Linked DNA regions of Stegostoma tigrinum. The main gene of each other region encodes a partner of the protein of the gene in region 2 in a complex. Links are inferred from orthologs where the notes say so. Each region holds a gene or a part of one and is shown on either strand. Other genes may lie near its edges. The genes, in order: mitochondrial intermembrane space import and assembly protein 40-like and aifm1.

Region 1 (7,602 bases), on a different chromosome or scaffold from region 2:
CCCCCTCCTCACCCCCCTCACCCCCCCCTCCTCACACCCCTCACCCCCCCTCCTCACACCCCTCACCCCCCCACCTCCTCACCCCCCTCACTCCCCACCTCCTCACCCCCCTCACCCCCCCCACCTCCTCACCCCCCTCACCCCCCCACCTCCTCACCCCCCTCACCCCCCCACCTCCTCACCCCCCCACCTCCTCACCCCCCTCACCCCCCCACCTCCTCACCCCCCTCACCCCCCCACCTCCTCACCCCCCTCACCCCCCCACCTCCTCACCCCCCTCACCCCCCCACCTCCTCACCCCCCTCACCCCCCGCTCACCCACCCCACCTCCCGCTCACCCACCCCACCTCCTCACCCCCCTCACCCACCCCTCACACATCCCACCTCCTCACCCCCCTCACCCACCCCACCTCCTCACCCCCCTCACCTCCTCACCCCCCTCACCCACCCCACCTCCTCACCCCCCTCACCCACCCCACCTCCTCACCCCCCTCACCCACCCCACCTCCTCACCCCCCTCACCCACCCCACCCCCTCACCCACCCCACCTCCTCACCCACCCCACCTCCTCACCCCCCTCACCCACCCCACCTCCTCACCCCCCTCACCCACCCCACCTCCTCACCCACCCCACCTCCTCACCCCCCTCCTCACCCCCTCACCCACCCCACCTCCTCAACCCCCTCACCCACCCCACCTCCTCACCCCCCTCACCCACCCCACCTCCTCACCCCCCTCACCCACCCCACCTCCTCACCCCCCTCACCCCCCCCTCCTCACCCCCCCTCACCCCCCCTCACCCACCCCCCTCCTCACCCCCCTCACCCACCCCCCTCCTCACCCCCCTCACCCACCCCCCCTCCTCACCCCCCTCACCCACCCCACCTCCTCACCCACCCCACCTCCTCACCCCCCTCCTCAACCCCACCTCCTCAACCCCCTCACCTCCTCAACCCCCTCACCCACCCCACCTCCTCAACCCCACCTCCTCAACCCCCTCACCTCCTCAACCCCCTCACCCACCCCACCTCCTCAACCCCCTCACCCCCCCCACCTCCTCAACCCCCTCACCCCCCCCACCTCCTCACCCCCCTCACCCACCCCACCTCCTCACCCCCCTCACCCACCCCACCTCCTCACCCCCCTCTTCACCCCCCTCACCCACCCCACCCCACCCCCTCACCCACCCCACCCCACCCCCTCACCCACCTCACCCACCCCACCCCCCTCACCCACCCCACCCCTCACCCCCCTCACCCACCCCCCCTCCTCACCCCCCTCACCCACCCCCCTCACCCCCCCCACCCCCTCACCCACCCCCCTCCTCACCCCCCTCACCCCCTCACCCACCCCCTCACCCACCCCCTCACCCACCCCCCTCACCCACCCCCCTCCCACCCCCCTCACCCCCCCCACCCCCCTCACCCCCCCCCCACCCCCTCACCCCCCTCACCCCCTCACCCACCCCCTCACCCACCCCCCTCCTCACCCCCCTCACCCCCCCCACCCCCTCACCCACCCCCCTCCTCACCCCCCTCACCCCCCCCACCCCCTCACCCACCCCCCTCCTCACCCCCCTCACCCCCCCCACCCCCTCACCCACCCCCCTCCTCACCCCCCCCACCCCCTCACCCACCCCCCTCCTCACCCCCTCACCCCCCCCCACCCCCTCACCCACCCCACCTCCTCACCCACCCCACCTCCTCACCCCCCTCCTCACCCACCCCACCTCCTCACCCACCCCACCTCCTCACCCCCCTCCTCACCCACCCCACCTCCTCACCCACCCCACCTCCTCACCCCCCTCCTCACCCACCCCACCTCCTCACCCCCCTCACCCACCCCACCTCCTCAACCCCCTCACCTCCTCAACCCCCTCACCCACCCCACCTCCTCAACCCCCTCACCCACCCCACCTCCTCACCCCCCCTCACCCACCCCACCCCCCTCACCCACCCCACCCCTCACCCCCCTCACCCACCCCACCCCCCCCACCCCCTCACCCACCCCCCCTCCTCACCCCCCTCACCCACCCCCCTCACCCACCCCCCTCACCCACCCCCCTCCTCACCCCCCTCACCCACCCCCCTCACCCTCCCCCCCTCCCCCTCCCCCCCTCCTCACCCACCCCCCTCACCCTCCCCCCCTCCTCACACCCCTCCTCACCCTCCCCCCCTCCTCACCCCCCCCCCTCCTCACCCCCCCCCCCTCCCCACCCCCCTCACCCACCCCCCTCACCTCACCCACCCCCCTCACCCACCCCCCTCACCCACCCCCCTCACCTCACCCACCCCCCTCACCCACCCCCCTCACCCCACCCACCCCCCTCACCCACCCCCCTCCTCACCCACCCCCCTCCTCACCCACCCCCCTCACCCCCTCACCCACCCCCCTCACCCCCTCACCCACCCCCCTCCTCACCCCCCTCACCCCCCCCACTCCTCACCCCCCTCACCCCCCCCACCCCCCCCACCCCCTCCTCACCCCCCTCACCCACCCCCCTCCTCACCCCCCTCACCCACCCCCCTCCTCACCCCCCCCACCCCCTCACCCACCCCCCTCCCCCACCCCCACCCCCTCACCCACCCCCCTCCCCCACCCCCCTCCTCACCCCCCTCCCCTACCCCCCTCCTCACCCCCCTCCCCTCCTCACCCCCCTCACCCCCTCACCCACCCCCCTCCTCACCCCCTCCTCACCCTCACACCTGACCCTCCGTTCCCCCACCCCCTCACCCACCCCCCTCCTCACCCACCCCCCTCCTCACCCCCTCCTCACCCCCCTCCCCCACCCCCCTCCTCACCCCCCTCACCCCCTCACCCTCACACCTGACCCTCCGTTCCCCACCCCCCCGGCCCCTCACCGTGCCGCCGGCAGTGGGACATCTCTCTCTCTCTCTGTCTCTCTCTCTGTCTCTCTCTCTCTCTCTCTCTCTGTGTGAGGGTTCGTGTCCGGGGGGGTGGGGAAGAAATGTGTTTCTCAGTCTCCGGCCCGTGCTCCCGGCCTGACCTCTGACCCACAGGCAGGAACCAATCACAGCGAGAGGGCGGGGCCAGAACCGGGGGCCCAATTTAAAGCCGCAGAGACGGCCCAAAGCACCTACCCTATGGAATCTATAACATACACCCTATAGAATGCACAATGTCCGTCATACTAATCCATTAGAATGTATAATGTCCACAATACCTACCCTGTAGAATCTATATTTTCCGTAAACCCACCCTATGGAATGTATATTGTCCATAATACCCACCCTATGGAATGTATAATATCCATCACATCCACCTACTGAATAAACAATATTTATTAAGTTATAATGGACCAACGAGTTTGTGAGAATGGGTGATTGTGGTCATTGAGAGAATCAGGTGTGGCTGTGGGTAAAAAGCATGGACGGACTGTATTAGGCTCTTAAGGTTATTGAACTCATTGTTGAGTTCTAGAGGCCACAAGATCCCCGAGTGGAAAGTAAGATGTTCTTTGACCTTGCATTGAGGTTGGCTGGAACTCTACAGCAAGCCTGCAACAGAAATTTTGGCATGAGAACACAGCGGTGTGTTGAAGTGGCAGGCAACAGAAAGCTTAGGATCATTTTTGCAGACAGAGCTTGGTTTTCTGCAAAGCGGTTTGTGTGACGCAGACTAGGTTACATTCTGTACAGCTCACCGATTTTCTCCTACTCTTAGCTCTCATTGTCACATATTCAGTTTTTTTTCTATTCTGGCCTGCTACCCGTAATTTCCCTGTCTACCTAGCTCTTTCATATCTCTGTCTCTGGGCTCCGTCTCCACCAATCCGCCCTCATCTCCCCTTCAGATTCCCAGCTTCAGCTTCAGCATAAATATCACATTTTTCTGGCTCATACCAGCTCTGATGAAGAGTCTCTGGACCCTGTGCTTTCTTCCCACAGTTGCTGTCAGTCCTACTGAGTTTCTCCAGCAATTTCTATTTTTGTTTTAGATTTCCAGCATTTGTAATTCATTGTTTTATTTTAATCTATAGAATCCACAGGCTCAAATATTGTACAATATGTAATAACATGTGATTAATCTGTAGAATTGACCAGCAGGAAAGTGCAGTGAAAGACACAATTGGATGAGTATGAACTTATAGAATGGCAGTATAAGTGAGTTTTGAGAAGTTTTGACAGTATAAGTCAGGGGCTGTCCCTGCTCCAAGCTAAGATGGTCTTGAAATTTTGTGTGGCCATGTTCAGTACAATTGTGCAATCACCTCAATATGAGTGGATGCAGGTGAATAAAGTCATTTATATACTGGGGTTTCATTTTCCCTGGGGACCAGGTTCAAGCTGAAGAAAACTACAGCTCCCAGCATGCTTGCGGGAGGGTCCTAACCTTCCCAGGCGGAGCCCGGGGAGGCCACCACCCAGCATCCTCCGGTAGGTAAGACTACAATCCCCAGCATTCCTGGGGAGTCGACACCATCTCCCGGCAAGCTTCACGGGAGTAGGTCCGTCCCTCAGGAGTGCGCAGGCGCAGAATGTATCCCCCTTGAAGCCGGAAGTGAAGGTGTGAGAGGGGCTAGAGCTGACTGTGGTCTCCCCCCTCAGTGTGTGTTATTGGCAGGGAAACCATGGTGAGGCCTAATGTAAGTTCAGAACCACAAACAACAGCCTTGTCAACGTGCAGGTGAAGATTAATCTGAATTGGCGTTGGACACATTATCATCTGAAGATATTCCTGGGGAAGGGAGTTCCCTTCTATATTCTGACAGCCCAGATCCACGTGGCACAGCTTTGAACCTGAGGAAGACAAAGTTCCCATCTCCCTGGCATATTTGCAAGAGATCTGATATCTCTTCTTGTAAAATCAAAGGGGCTAACCAGAGTCCTTCTCCCTACCTCCCCCCCCCCCCCCCCCCCCAATCAGAACCACCAACCCTTCCCTATGTCTACTATGGCCCTGGACTGAAGCCAACAACTCTCCATCAGTTGCTGTTTTTTTTGTTTCTAATCAGCACAATTGTTGGCCAGTGCCAGAGCAAATCAAAATGATGCTGCACTATAATCAAAACATAATGGGTGGGAGGGTGCAAGTCTTGGTTAGTGAGATGTCACTGACGATGTGTAAATGACTTCAGACCCATTTGTCAAGATTATATTTTAAATGCTGTGTAAGATCCTCAGCTAAGTCAGTCAGCTCAATTATACTGGTTCTGGGTAAAATGAATGGGCAATAAATGTCAGTCTGACCAGGAATGCCCACAGCCCAACATCAAAAATTGTGTCACTGTTGTTTAAACACCTTCTGTTTTTGGGTGTGCCTGTACTGAATGGCCTGCAGCAGTTAATGAAGGCAGACAACATTTTGAAGGGAATTTAGAGATGGCCAGCCTAGCCAATACTATTCCACATCCCGTGAAAATGTTTACAAAGTTCATCTGTCTTCATTTCGCTTTTAAGATGGTACTTAAAGATTCATGAAAGCTTGTCCCTTCTGGTTTTGCAGCAACCAGGAGGCAGCAGGGATGAACACGTGAAGGTCACAAATCAGAAGAAGCAGGGATTCCTGGAACGTCTTGGGGAGACAATGGGGGGAATGGTGGTGGGAGTGCTTATCTTCACCTTGTCCTTCTACCTCCTCTTCACCAATGAGGTAGGTGCAGAGGTTGGATTACATGCTGTTTTCTGGGCAGGCATCAGTTATCCTGTTCAATTTGTGGTATCAGTGTCTGTTGCTCAGTGGGTAGCTCGCGCTCATTTCTGAATCAGAAGTTCATGGGTTCAAATCCCACATCAGGGACCTGGGCAAACAGAAGAATCTGAGGTGATAGTTTTTGTAAAATGCATGATGAGGAACGTTGATGTGAAACTTAACTGGATTTGATACACAACAAAACGTAAACAACGTGGCTACAAGAGCAGGTCAGAGGCTAGGAATACACCGGTGTGTAACTCCCCTCCTGACTCCCCAAAACACATCTAACCATCTAAAGGCACAAGTCAGGAGTGTGATGGAATACTCCCCACTTGCCTGGATGGATGCAGCTCTAACAACACTCAAGAAGGAATGAGGTGTGCAGTGAGCTGCCAATGTGTCGTTACTTGGCTTCATGTTCCTTACAGATAAAAGATCAAAGCTGAATGAGCTGAACTGTGAACTGCACAGAGAGGATAGAGACTTAGCAATGTGGGATCATTTCTACAGGCTAATTTCAGGAATTAGATGCATTGGAATGAACGGTCATGTCTCCCTCCGGTCTCTTCCTTCAAGTAGACGTTGTTGGGCTGGCTATCAGATTCCATTAGGTATTTGATTTACAAGTCCGTGGTATTGAAGTGGACATAATTAACTGTGCCAAATGATATTGAGCTGGAAGCTGGAACAAGGGACAGTGATGTTTGGAGATTTGTAAACAGAGAAAAATACACACTGCTATTATCCTGTGGTTTTACAATGAAAGCTTTGGTACCACATCCCTCTGAGACAGCATTCTCCCAAATACAGATAATCAAGTCCAAGTATCTCACCTGCCTCACAAATGCCCGTGTGATGGACTGTATAGAACTAGCTAGTTCAAATTATAATTTGGCTACTCAAAGAGGAGGATAACATACTGAGCCTATATGTAGAAGACAAAATGAATAATCAGATATACTAAAAATAAATGCATTATTTTCTTTCAGGTAGATTCTTGTTTGCACTAAAACTCAAAAAGTGATCTTGTGCTTAAGAATGTTGAAGTCCCTTGAAATAACACCATCTTCCTTCCTCTGGCTATCTGAGTTCTTCTAGATGTTGTCATGTCCCGGTTACCGCTCACTAGTATTCCCTGTAAACTGGGCACAGCAGCGTGGTAGGGCAGTGACACAGAATATTCTGCTTGGTGCAGTTACCAGGAACATTGCCCATGTGTGTTGTTGATGAACGTTTTGCTCACAGTCTGACGGTAATTCCATTGAAAAAATCATCAACCACTTGTTTGAACCCAACATAGACTCGCACTTTACATCTTGCTGTAACCTCTTCCAGTCCCCAAATCCTCCGATATCTCTGCCTCGCTCCAATTCTAATCCCTGGAGTATCTGTGATTTTAATCCCTCCGCCATTGAATGCTATACCGACAGCTGTCTGGACTCAACACTCTAGAATTCCCTCCATAAACCTCTCTAATTGTCTCTTTCTTTATCTCTCTATCCTCCTTTAAGATGCCGGTCTGTTTGAGATTTTGGTCACTAATGCTGCATTTTTATGTTGCTGGGTGACGGTTATTCTCTAATCTACGTTCTTGTGAAATGTCTTGGAACATTTTATATTGTGCTGATGTAGTTCTATAAAAGCAGGTTTATTTACAAGGCTCCTCTGACAACATCTCCTAAAACCATAACAGTTACCATCTGGAAAGAAAACGGTAGCACATGCAGGCACTCGCTGGGTTGGGAATGGGTCCCAGTCCTGACCCCATTCACAAACTGACTTGTACCCAGATTGGAGCACAGTGAAGGACAGTGTAGAGGAACTGTTCCTAAATTCAGGAAGTGTTCATGTGTTGGGTGTATAAAATTTCTCCCTTTATGGAATTGTGTTTGTAAGTAGGAGTGTTTGTAAATCAGTGACCCCCGTATGTGGGAACACCATCCCCTG
Region 2 (8,212 bases):
TTGTGGCACTGCAGGAGGCCCATGATGGACATGTCATCTGAAGAATGGGAGGGGGAGTTAAAATGGTTCACGACTTGGAGGTGCAGTTGTTTATTGCAAACCGAGCGGAGGTGTTCTGCAAAGCTGTTACTGAATCCATTGTACCCGGTATGGTTTCCTCTACATTGGGGAAACCGAGCGGAGGCTTGGGGACCGCTCTGCAGAACACCTCAGCTCGGTTCGCAATAAACAACTGCACCTCCCAGTCGCAAGCCATTTTAACTCCCTCCCATTCTTCAGATGACATGTCCATCATGGGCCGCCTGCAGTGCCACAAGGATGCCACCCGAAGGTTGCAGGAACAGCAACTCATATTCCGCTTGGGAACCCTGCAGCCCAATGGTATCAATGTGGACTTCACAAGCTTCAAAATCTCCCCTTCCCCCACCGCATCCCACAACCAGCCCAGTTCGTCCCCTCCCCCCACTGCATCACACAACCAGCCCAGCTCATCCCCTCCCCCCCACTGCATTCCAAAACCAGCCCAGCCTGTCTCTGCCTCCCTAACCTGTTCTTCCTCTCACCCATCCCTTCCTCCCATCTCAAGCCGCACCTCCATTTCCTACCTAACCTCATCCCACCTCCTTGACCTGTCCGTCTTCCCTGGACTGGCCTATCCCCTCCCTACCTATCTTCTTTTCTCGCCATCTTTGGTCCGCCTTCCCGTCTCTCCCTATTTATTCCAGAACCCTCTCCCCATCCCCTTCTCCGATGAAGGGTCGAGGCCTGAAACGTCAGCTTTTGTGCTCCTGAGATGCTGCTTGGCCTGCTGTGTTCATCCAGCTCCACACTTTGTTATCAGTCCTTCTGCAACAGCTTGATGCACTCTTGACACCATCAACTGTTTCCATGGCACACTAACCAGTGTATACACCAATCCACTAGTGAGAGGAACATACTAAACTGCTTTGCAGGACATCTTTATTCAGTCTGCCAGTGTAATCTTGAGTGCCTGCTTGCCTGCCTTCTTAATTCTCTCCCTCTCCACCCTGAGCCTCTTATATTGATCACATGAAGTTCAAAGGGCATCTCAATGAAGACAATCTCATTTTTTGATTAGACATCTTCAACATGTTGGGCTTAACATTAAATTTAACACTTTCACACCATAAACACTGCCCATAATCATTAATCCAAATATCATGGGCTGGTGATCGTTGGTTTCACTACCACTCTTTTGCCTTGGTCATTGTCTCTTCTGTCGTTTCATCCCACCACAGAGATGTACAATACAGAAAAAGGTTCTTCATCCCATCGCATCTGCCACTTAACCAGTCAAAAACAAACAAACAAACAAACAAACAAACAAACAGTCAGTCACTTCACCATTCTAATCCCATCTTATAGCGCTGAAAAACAGTCATCTGGACTTGAAACATTAGCTTGCTCTCTCTCTGTGGATGCTACCTGGTCCACTGTAACTTCTAGAGTGTTTTTTTGTTTTCAGTACAGGTTCCAGCATCTGCAGTAATTTGCTCCCACTTTCTGGGGATTGGTGTACATACACATCTCAATCCCTCTGATCCTTGGCACTTGCCAGTATCCTCATTCATGTGTTCCCTTGCCTTGTTTATACACCGCACAGTTACCCAGACTGAATTCCATTTGCCCCTGTTTAACCCATTTGACCAGTTTCTTTACATGTAAGGCTATCCTCCTCACCATTTATCACCCCAATTTTTATATTACATAATCTTAATGACCAACCCTCCTACATTCAACTCTAAATCATTTATATAACGTACAAACAGCAAGAGTCCCAAAACCAAACCTTGTTCAGCCCCACTTGACAGATTTCCAGTCAGAAAAACAACACAACTTTCTACTTCCTGCCATTCAGCCGAGCATCCAATTTGCCAAATTTCCTCAGGTGCCATGGGTTCTAAGCTTTGCTACCAATATTCCATGCAGGACCTGATCAAAAGTCTAGCTGGCGTCCAAACATACTGCATCGAAAACACTGCTCTCATCGACACCTTCACAGAAATTGATTTTTGTCCCTACCTTCCTCACTTTCTAGCATCTTCACGTACTTTACGGTTGTATTTCTCGCCGGCTTTGTCGACAAGTTATGGACCTAAATATTCTAAATAAAGGGTCTCGGCCTTCCTGTTCCTCTGATGCTGCTTGGCCCGCCGTGTTCATCCAGCTCTCCACCTTGGTATCTCGGACTTAAACGTTAATTCTGTTTCTGTGACCTGTTGAGCATCTTGCTTTTGATTTAGCTCTCCGGTCTCGGCAGCGATCTGCTTTTGCACCACGTTCAGGAAGATTTTTGCACGGAATGCGACTTCCCGGTTTATAGAGTTGCTCTTGGTGACACTGACCTTGGACCAGTAAAGAAAGTGCCAACTGCCAAGGCGAGACCTATACAGCTTTCGTAAAACTAACGGCTGTACCTGATTTGGAGAGGGGGGGGGTCAAAAAACACGGACACATACCAAAGAATAGTATTTTCTCGGGCAGATCCGCTCGGCCAGTTAATGCTTTGTGAACAATTGCGAGAAGAAGCAGTTCAAGGCACAGCCTGCAACTTCTGGTTTGTGACCTACCAGTGAAAGCCAAGGTGAACAGCAGGGTGCTCAGGGCACATACTTGGACGAACGGGACAAGTAGTGGGGAAGGGAGGGAAAGGGCCCCCAAAAGCAGAAAGTTTATAGCCTGCGGGGTTTCCCACGACCTTGGCCCCGGCGACGAGAGCTAAACCCGCGGCCTACAGCCAGCTGTCCGCCAAACCGTCCCCTCGTCCCACCTCACCTCGTTTCCTGGCGCTACCCCTCACTAGCACCGACGCCGCTCTGCTCAGCGGCAGTAGCGTCTGCCATGTCGCCCTGGTCCGCAGCATGGTTCCGGCTCGATCGGTCAGTCAATCTCGTTACCCCGCCATCATCCACAACACACGCCCCCAACCGCTACAAAGAAAATGCCGTCTCGCACCCCCTCACAAACTTCAGCCGGCCCTCCGTCTCCGCGCAGGCGCCGATCAGACACGTCGGCGGCAGCACCCGCCCGCGCTCTCACCCCCTAGCGGCCGGCAGAGGGAAGATGTCAACAGTCGTCGAGAGGCAGCGGGAGAAGAGAAGAGCTTCCGCTCCCCCCCTTCCCCAAAAGAATTGAGATACTGTCGATTAGAGACGTTGCTGGAAAAGTTTAACAGATCCTGGCAGCGTCTGTGCAGAAGAAAAATCGGAGTGAACGTTTCGGGGTCCGGGATAATAGGAACTGCAGATGCTGGAGAATCCGAGATAACAAAAGCGTAGAGCTGGATGAACACAGCAGACCAAGCAGCATCTCAGGAGCACAAAAGCTGATATTTCAGGCTTAGACCCTTCATCAGAGAGAGGGATGGGGAGAGGGTTCTGAAATAAATAGGGAGAAAGGGGGGAGGCGGATCGCTGGGTCAGTACGGACAGGTCAAGGGGGCGGGATGAGGTTTGTAGGTTGGAAATGGAGGTGTGGCTTGAAGTGGGAGGAGGGGATCGGTGAGAGGAAGAACACGTTCGGCAGGCTCGGACCAGTTGGGCTGGTTTTGGGATGGATTGGGGGGGATGGGACATTTTGAAGCTTGTGAAATCCACATTGATACCATTCGGCTGCAAGGTTCCCAAGCGGAATATGAGGTGCTGTTCCTGCAACGTTATGGCACTGCAGGATGTCATCTAAGGAATGGGAGGGGCAGTTGAAATGGTTTGGGACTGGGACGTGCAGTTGTTTATTACGAACCGAGCGTAGGTGTTATGCAAAGCGGTCCCCAAGCCTCTGCTTGGTTTCCCCAATGTAGAGGAAGCCACACCGGGTACAATGGATACAATATACCACATTGGTGGATGTGCAGGTGAACATCTGCTTGATGTGGAAAGTCATCTTGGGGCCTGGGATAGGGGTGAGAGAGGAGGTGCAGGGGAAAGTGCTGGGTGTGGTGGGGCTGGAGGGGAGTGTGGAGCGGACAAGGGAGTCGCGGAGAGAGTGGTCTCTCCGGAAGGCAGACAAGGGTGGGGTTGGAAAAATGTCTTTAGTGGTGGAGTTGGATTGTAGATGGCGGAAGTGTCGGCGAATGATGCGTTGTATCCGGAGGTTGGTGGGGTGGTATGTGAGGATGAGGGAGATTCTCTTTTGGCACTTATTACCGGGGCGGGGTGTGAGGCATGAAGTGTGGGAAATGCGGATCTCCTTTCTCACCCCCATCCCAGGCCCCAAGATGACTTTCCACATCAAGCAGATGTTGACCTGCACATCCGCCAGTGTGGTATACTGCATCTGCTGTACCCGGTGTGGCTACCCCGCGGAGGCTTGGGGACCGCTTTGCAGAAAACCTCCACTTGGTTCGCAATAGACAACTACATCTCCCAGTCGCAAACCATTTCAACTCCCCCTCCCATTCCTTAGATGACATGTCCATCCTGAGCCTCCTGCAGTGCCACAAGGATGCCACCCGAAGGTTGCAGGAACAGCATCTCATATTACTCTTGGGAACCCTGCAGCCCAATGGTATCGATGTGGATTTCACCAGCTTCAAAATCTCCCCTCCCCCCACTGCATCCCAAAACCAGCCAAGCTCGTCCCTGCCTGCCTAACCTGTTCTTCCTCTCACCCATCCCTTTCTCCCACCTCAAGCTGCACGTCCATTTCCTACCTACTAACCCAATCCCGCCCCCTTGACCTGTCCATCCTCCCTGACTGACCTATCCCCTCCCCATACTCTCCTCTCCACTTGCCTTCTCCTCTATCCATCTTCGGTCCACCTCCCCCTCTCTCCCTAATTATTTCAGAATCCTCTCCCCATCCCCCTTTTCTGATGAAGTGTCTCGGCCCGAAATGTCAGCTTTTGTGCTCCCAAGATGCTGCTTGGCCTGCACAGTTCATCCAGCTCCTCACTTTGTTGTTTCGGGGTCTGGTGTCCCTTTCCTCAGAACGAGTATTTTCCCCAGTGCCGGGAACTGACTGCAATCAGGGGTACTGCAGGGATGAGTGCTTGGACAACCACCTCCCCCCACCTATTCATAATAAACGTTCATGATTTAGATGAGGAAACTAAATGTCCAGGTTTGCAGACAACACGAAGGCTGGGTGGGAGGGGGAACTGTGAGGCGGATACAGAGATGCTGAAGGGTGATTTGGACAAGGTGAACTGAGTGGACAAATGCACAGCAGCTCACGTACAACGTGGGACAATGTGAGGTTATCAACGTTGGTGGCAAAAACAGATTTTCATCTGAATGGAAGATTGGGAAAGTGTGAGGAGCAACCAGATGCCAGTCACTGAAAGTAAGCATGCAGGCATGAGTAGGAAGTGAAGAAAGCAAGTGGTCTGTTGGCCTTCATGGAGAGAAGATTGGAGTACAGGGGCAGAGATCATTTTTCTTTAACATTGTTGACCTAAGAGAAGCTGGTGCATTTGATGTCTGCTTTTATGCCTAACGAGACAGCATCTTTGGCCATTTCCCTGGCAGCATAAGGTGGACAATCCTCTAGATCTCCTTGACTGAGATGAGCTGGTGCTTGTTATACTGAATCACGTGCAAAACCTCTGAGGAGACACACTCAATCATTTGGACAACACGGGAGTTCTTGACTTTCATGGTTTTAGATGAAATTCTGATTGAAAGTCGGCCCAGATCTCTTCTAGTACATGTAAGTTGGGAAAGGGCTGCTTGGTGCTCAGTGGTTAGCACTGTGACCTCACAAAAACTAGGGATCTGCGTTCAATTCCAGCCTCAGGCGACTATCTGTGTGGAGTCTGCACATTCTCCCTGTGCCTGTGTGGGTTTCCTCTGGATACTGTGGTTTCCTTCTACAGTCCAACGATGTGTTGGTTAGGTGGATTGGCCATGCTAAATTGCCCCTAGTGTCCAGGAAAATACGTGCTAAGTGGATTAGCCATGGGAAATGCATATTTACAGAGATAGGATAAGGGTGTGTGTGTGGTTGGATAGCTCTTTGGAGGGTCACTGTTGTTTTGATGGGCCAAATGTCCTGTTTCCACAATGTAGGGATTCTATGATTCTATGAATAGCTTTGTTTCCAAGACTTCCTCCACTTCTTGTATGGTTTCTTAATGACTTTATTACACAACTATTTTGTTGCCTTTCAGGACACAGCACCCTTTGCCACAGCTCTGACTCATGCACGATGTCATATTTCACAGGAGGAGTGATGTCTTGCTGCAGTACAGGGCCTTGGTAAAACCGTATCGGCAGTATTGCATGTAGTTTTGGTCTCCTCTTCTGAAGAAGGATGTTCTGACTATAAAGGTAGTTCTTTGAAGGTTTACCAATATAATTCCATGGATGGGAGGACTGATTTCATGCTGGATGGATTATGACGATATTCACTGGAGTTTGGAAGAATGAGGGGAATCTTATCGGAACCAACACAATTCTAACAGGATTTAGCACAAATGCAAAAATTATGTTACCAATGACTGTCAAGTCTAGCACCAGGAGTCACAGTTTAAGGCCATTTTGGTCTGAAGTGAGGAGAGGTTTCTTCATCCAGAGAGTGGTGAGCTTATGAAATTCTTTGCCACAGGAAACATCTGAGGCCAAAACATTGAAATATTTACAGGAGGATTTAGATATTGTTATTGGGGCTAAAGGAATCAAAAGGTATGGGGAGAAATCAGAAACAGGGTATTGAGTTGGATATCAGATGTGATCATATTGAATGCTGGAGCAGGCTTGAAGGGCTGAAAACCTTACATCAGCTCCTAAAGGGCGGCGATGGCTTAGAGGTATTATCACTGGAGTGTTAATCTAGAGACCCAGATAATGTTCTGGGGACCCAGGTTTGAATCCTGTCATAGCAGATGGTGCAATTTGAATTTAATAAACGTCTGGAATTAAGAATCTAATAAAGAGTGTGAATCCAATGTTGACTGTTGCAGGAAAAAAATTCATTTTTTTCACTAATGTTTTTTAGGGAGGGAAACTGCCATCCTTACCTGACCTACATGTGACTCTAGACCCACAGCAATGTGGTTGCCTCTAAACTGCCTTCTAGGCAATTCAGGATGAGCAATAAATACTGCCTCACCAGCAATGCCCTCATCCTATGAATGAATAAAGAAAAAAATGTTGATGTTCTTCTGTTTCTGTATATTCTAAAAATAAGTTGAAAAGCATGAGTAAAAATGGACTCATTCTGAATGACAATTTTTCACAGAAAGTACTTTATGTTAGTTTATGCCCACAAACACCATTTTTAAAATTCAGTTGTTGGACATGCCCATTGTTGGCTGTTTGACTTTTATTGCCTTCCTGGTTACCCTTGACAGGGTGATTGTGAGCTGTTTTCTTCAATTCATGTACTGTCCATAGACCCAAAATGCCCTTAGGGAATTCCAGGATTTTGACCCAGCAAAAGATGATGCCGAAAGTTTAATGTTACATTTATCAGGACAAATCAGTACACCAAATTTCAATGACCAGATCAATTGAGACTGAAAAAGTTGACTCAGATTGGCCAAAGCACACCATGAAGGTTCAAGGCCTGAATCTATTACTTTTGCTGTCATTTAAGTAAAAAATTGTTTAAATGACTTTGAAATGTGATTATTGCCTTGAAATCATTTATAAGGTCAGAATTGTACAGCACAGAAACAGACCCTTTGGGGTACAAGTTATCCGTTGCTGACCAGATATCCTGAACAAATCTAGTCCCATTTGCCAGCATTTGGCCCATATCCCTAAACCCTTCATATTCATTGACCTGAGTTAGTAGGAACTGCAAGTGCTGGAGAATCTGAGATCACAGGTCTAGGCCCGAAATGTCAGCCTTCCTGCTCCTCAGATGCTGCTTGGCCTGCTGTGTTCATCCAGCTCTACACCTTGTTATCTCATATTCATTGACCTATCCAGATACCTTTTAAATGCTGTAATTGTACCAGCCTCCACTACTTCCTCGGCAAGCTGGTTCTGCACACACTCATCAGCCTTTGTTGAAAAAGTTGCCACTAAGGTCCTTTTGAAATCCTCCTCCTCACGTCAAATCTTCGCCCTCGAGTTTTGTGACTCCACCGCCCTGGGAATAAGACTTTGTCTGTTTACTCTATCGATGCCCCTCGCGATTTTAGAAACATCTATAAGGTCATCCCTCGAGCCTCCGACGCCCCGGGAAAAATAACCGCAGCCGGTTCAACCTCTCCTCAAACCCTCCAGCTCTGGCACGATCCTTG

What was found.
Region 1: the proteins of aifm1 (region 2) and mitochondrial intermembrane space import and assembly protein 40-like are in contact, whole or in part, in a cryo-EM structure (PDB 9GQZ), measured with the Homo sapiens proteins. The link is inferred for Stegostoma tigrinum from reciprocal best matches to the Homo sapiens genes AIFM1 and CHCHD4. Residues at the interface, in NP_004199.1 of Homo sapiens: Pro345, Tyr347, Ser500, Ser501, Leu502, Pro503, Thr504, Val505, Gly506, Val507, Phe508, Ala509, Lys510, Glu558, Asp559, Tyr560, Asn602, Ala605, Lys606, Phe608, Asn609, Ile610, His611; in NP_001091972.1 of Homo sapiens: Arg5, Glu7, Lys9, Asp10, Arg11, Ile12, Ile13, Phe14, Val15, Thr16, Lys17, His20, Thr22, Pro23.

What each region holds. Positions count from the first base shown.
Region 1 is NC_081364.1:2,799,754-2,807,355, forward strand, and holds the start of mitochondrial intermembrane space import and assembly protein 40-like, read right to left. Parts: upstream 3,010-7,602; 5' UTR 2,884-3,009; coding exon 2,862-2,883; intron 1-2,861. Other genes in the region: transmembrane protein 43-like, read left to right, coding at 4,592-4,606, 5,467-5,613.
Region 2 is NC_081368.1:61,399,284-61,407,495, forward strand, and holds the start of aifm1 (apoptosis-inducing factor 1, mitochondrial), read right to left. Parts: upstream 3,033-8,212; 5' UTR 2,885-3,032; coding exon 2,797-2,884; intron 1-2,796. UniProt on the Homo sapiens protein: Functions both as NADH oxidoreductase and as regulator of apoptosis.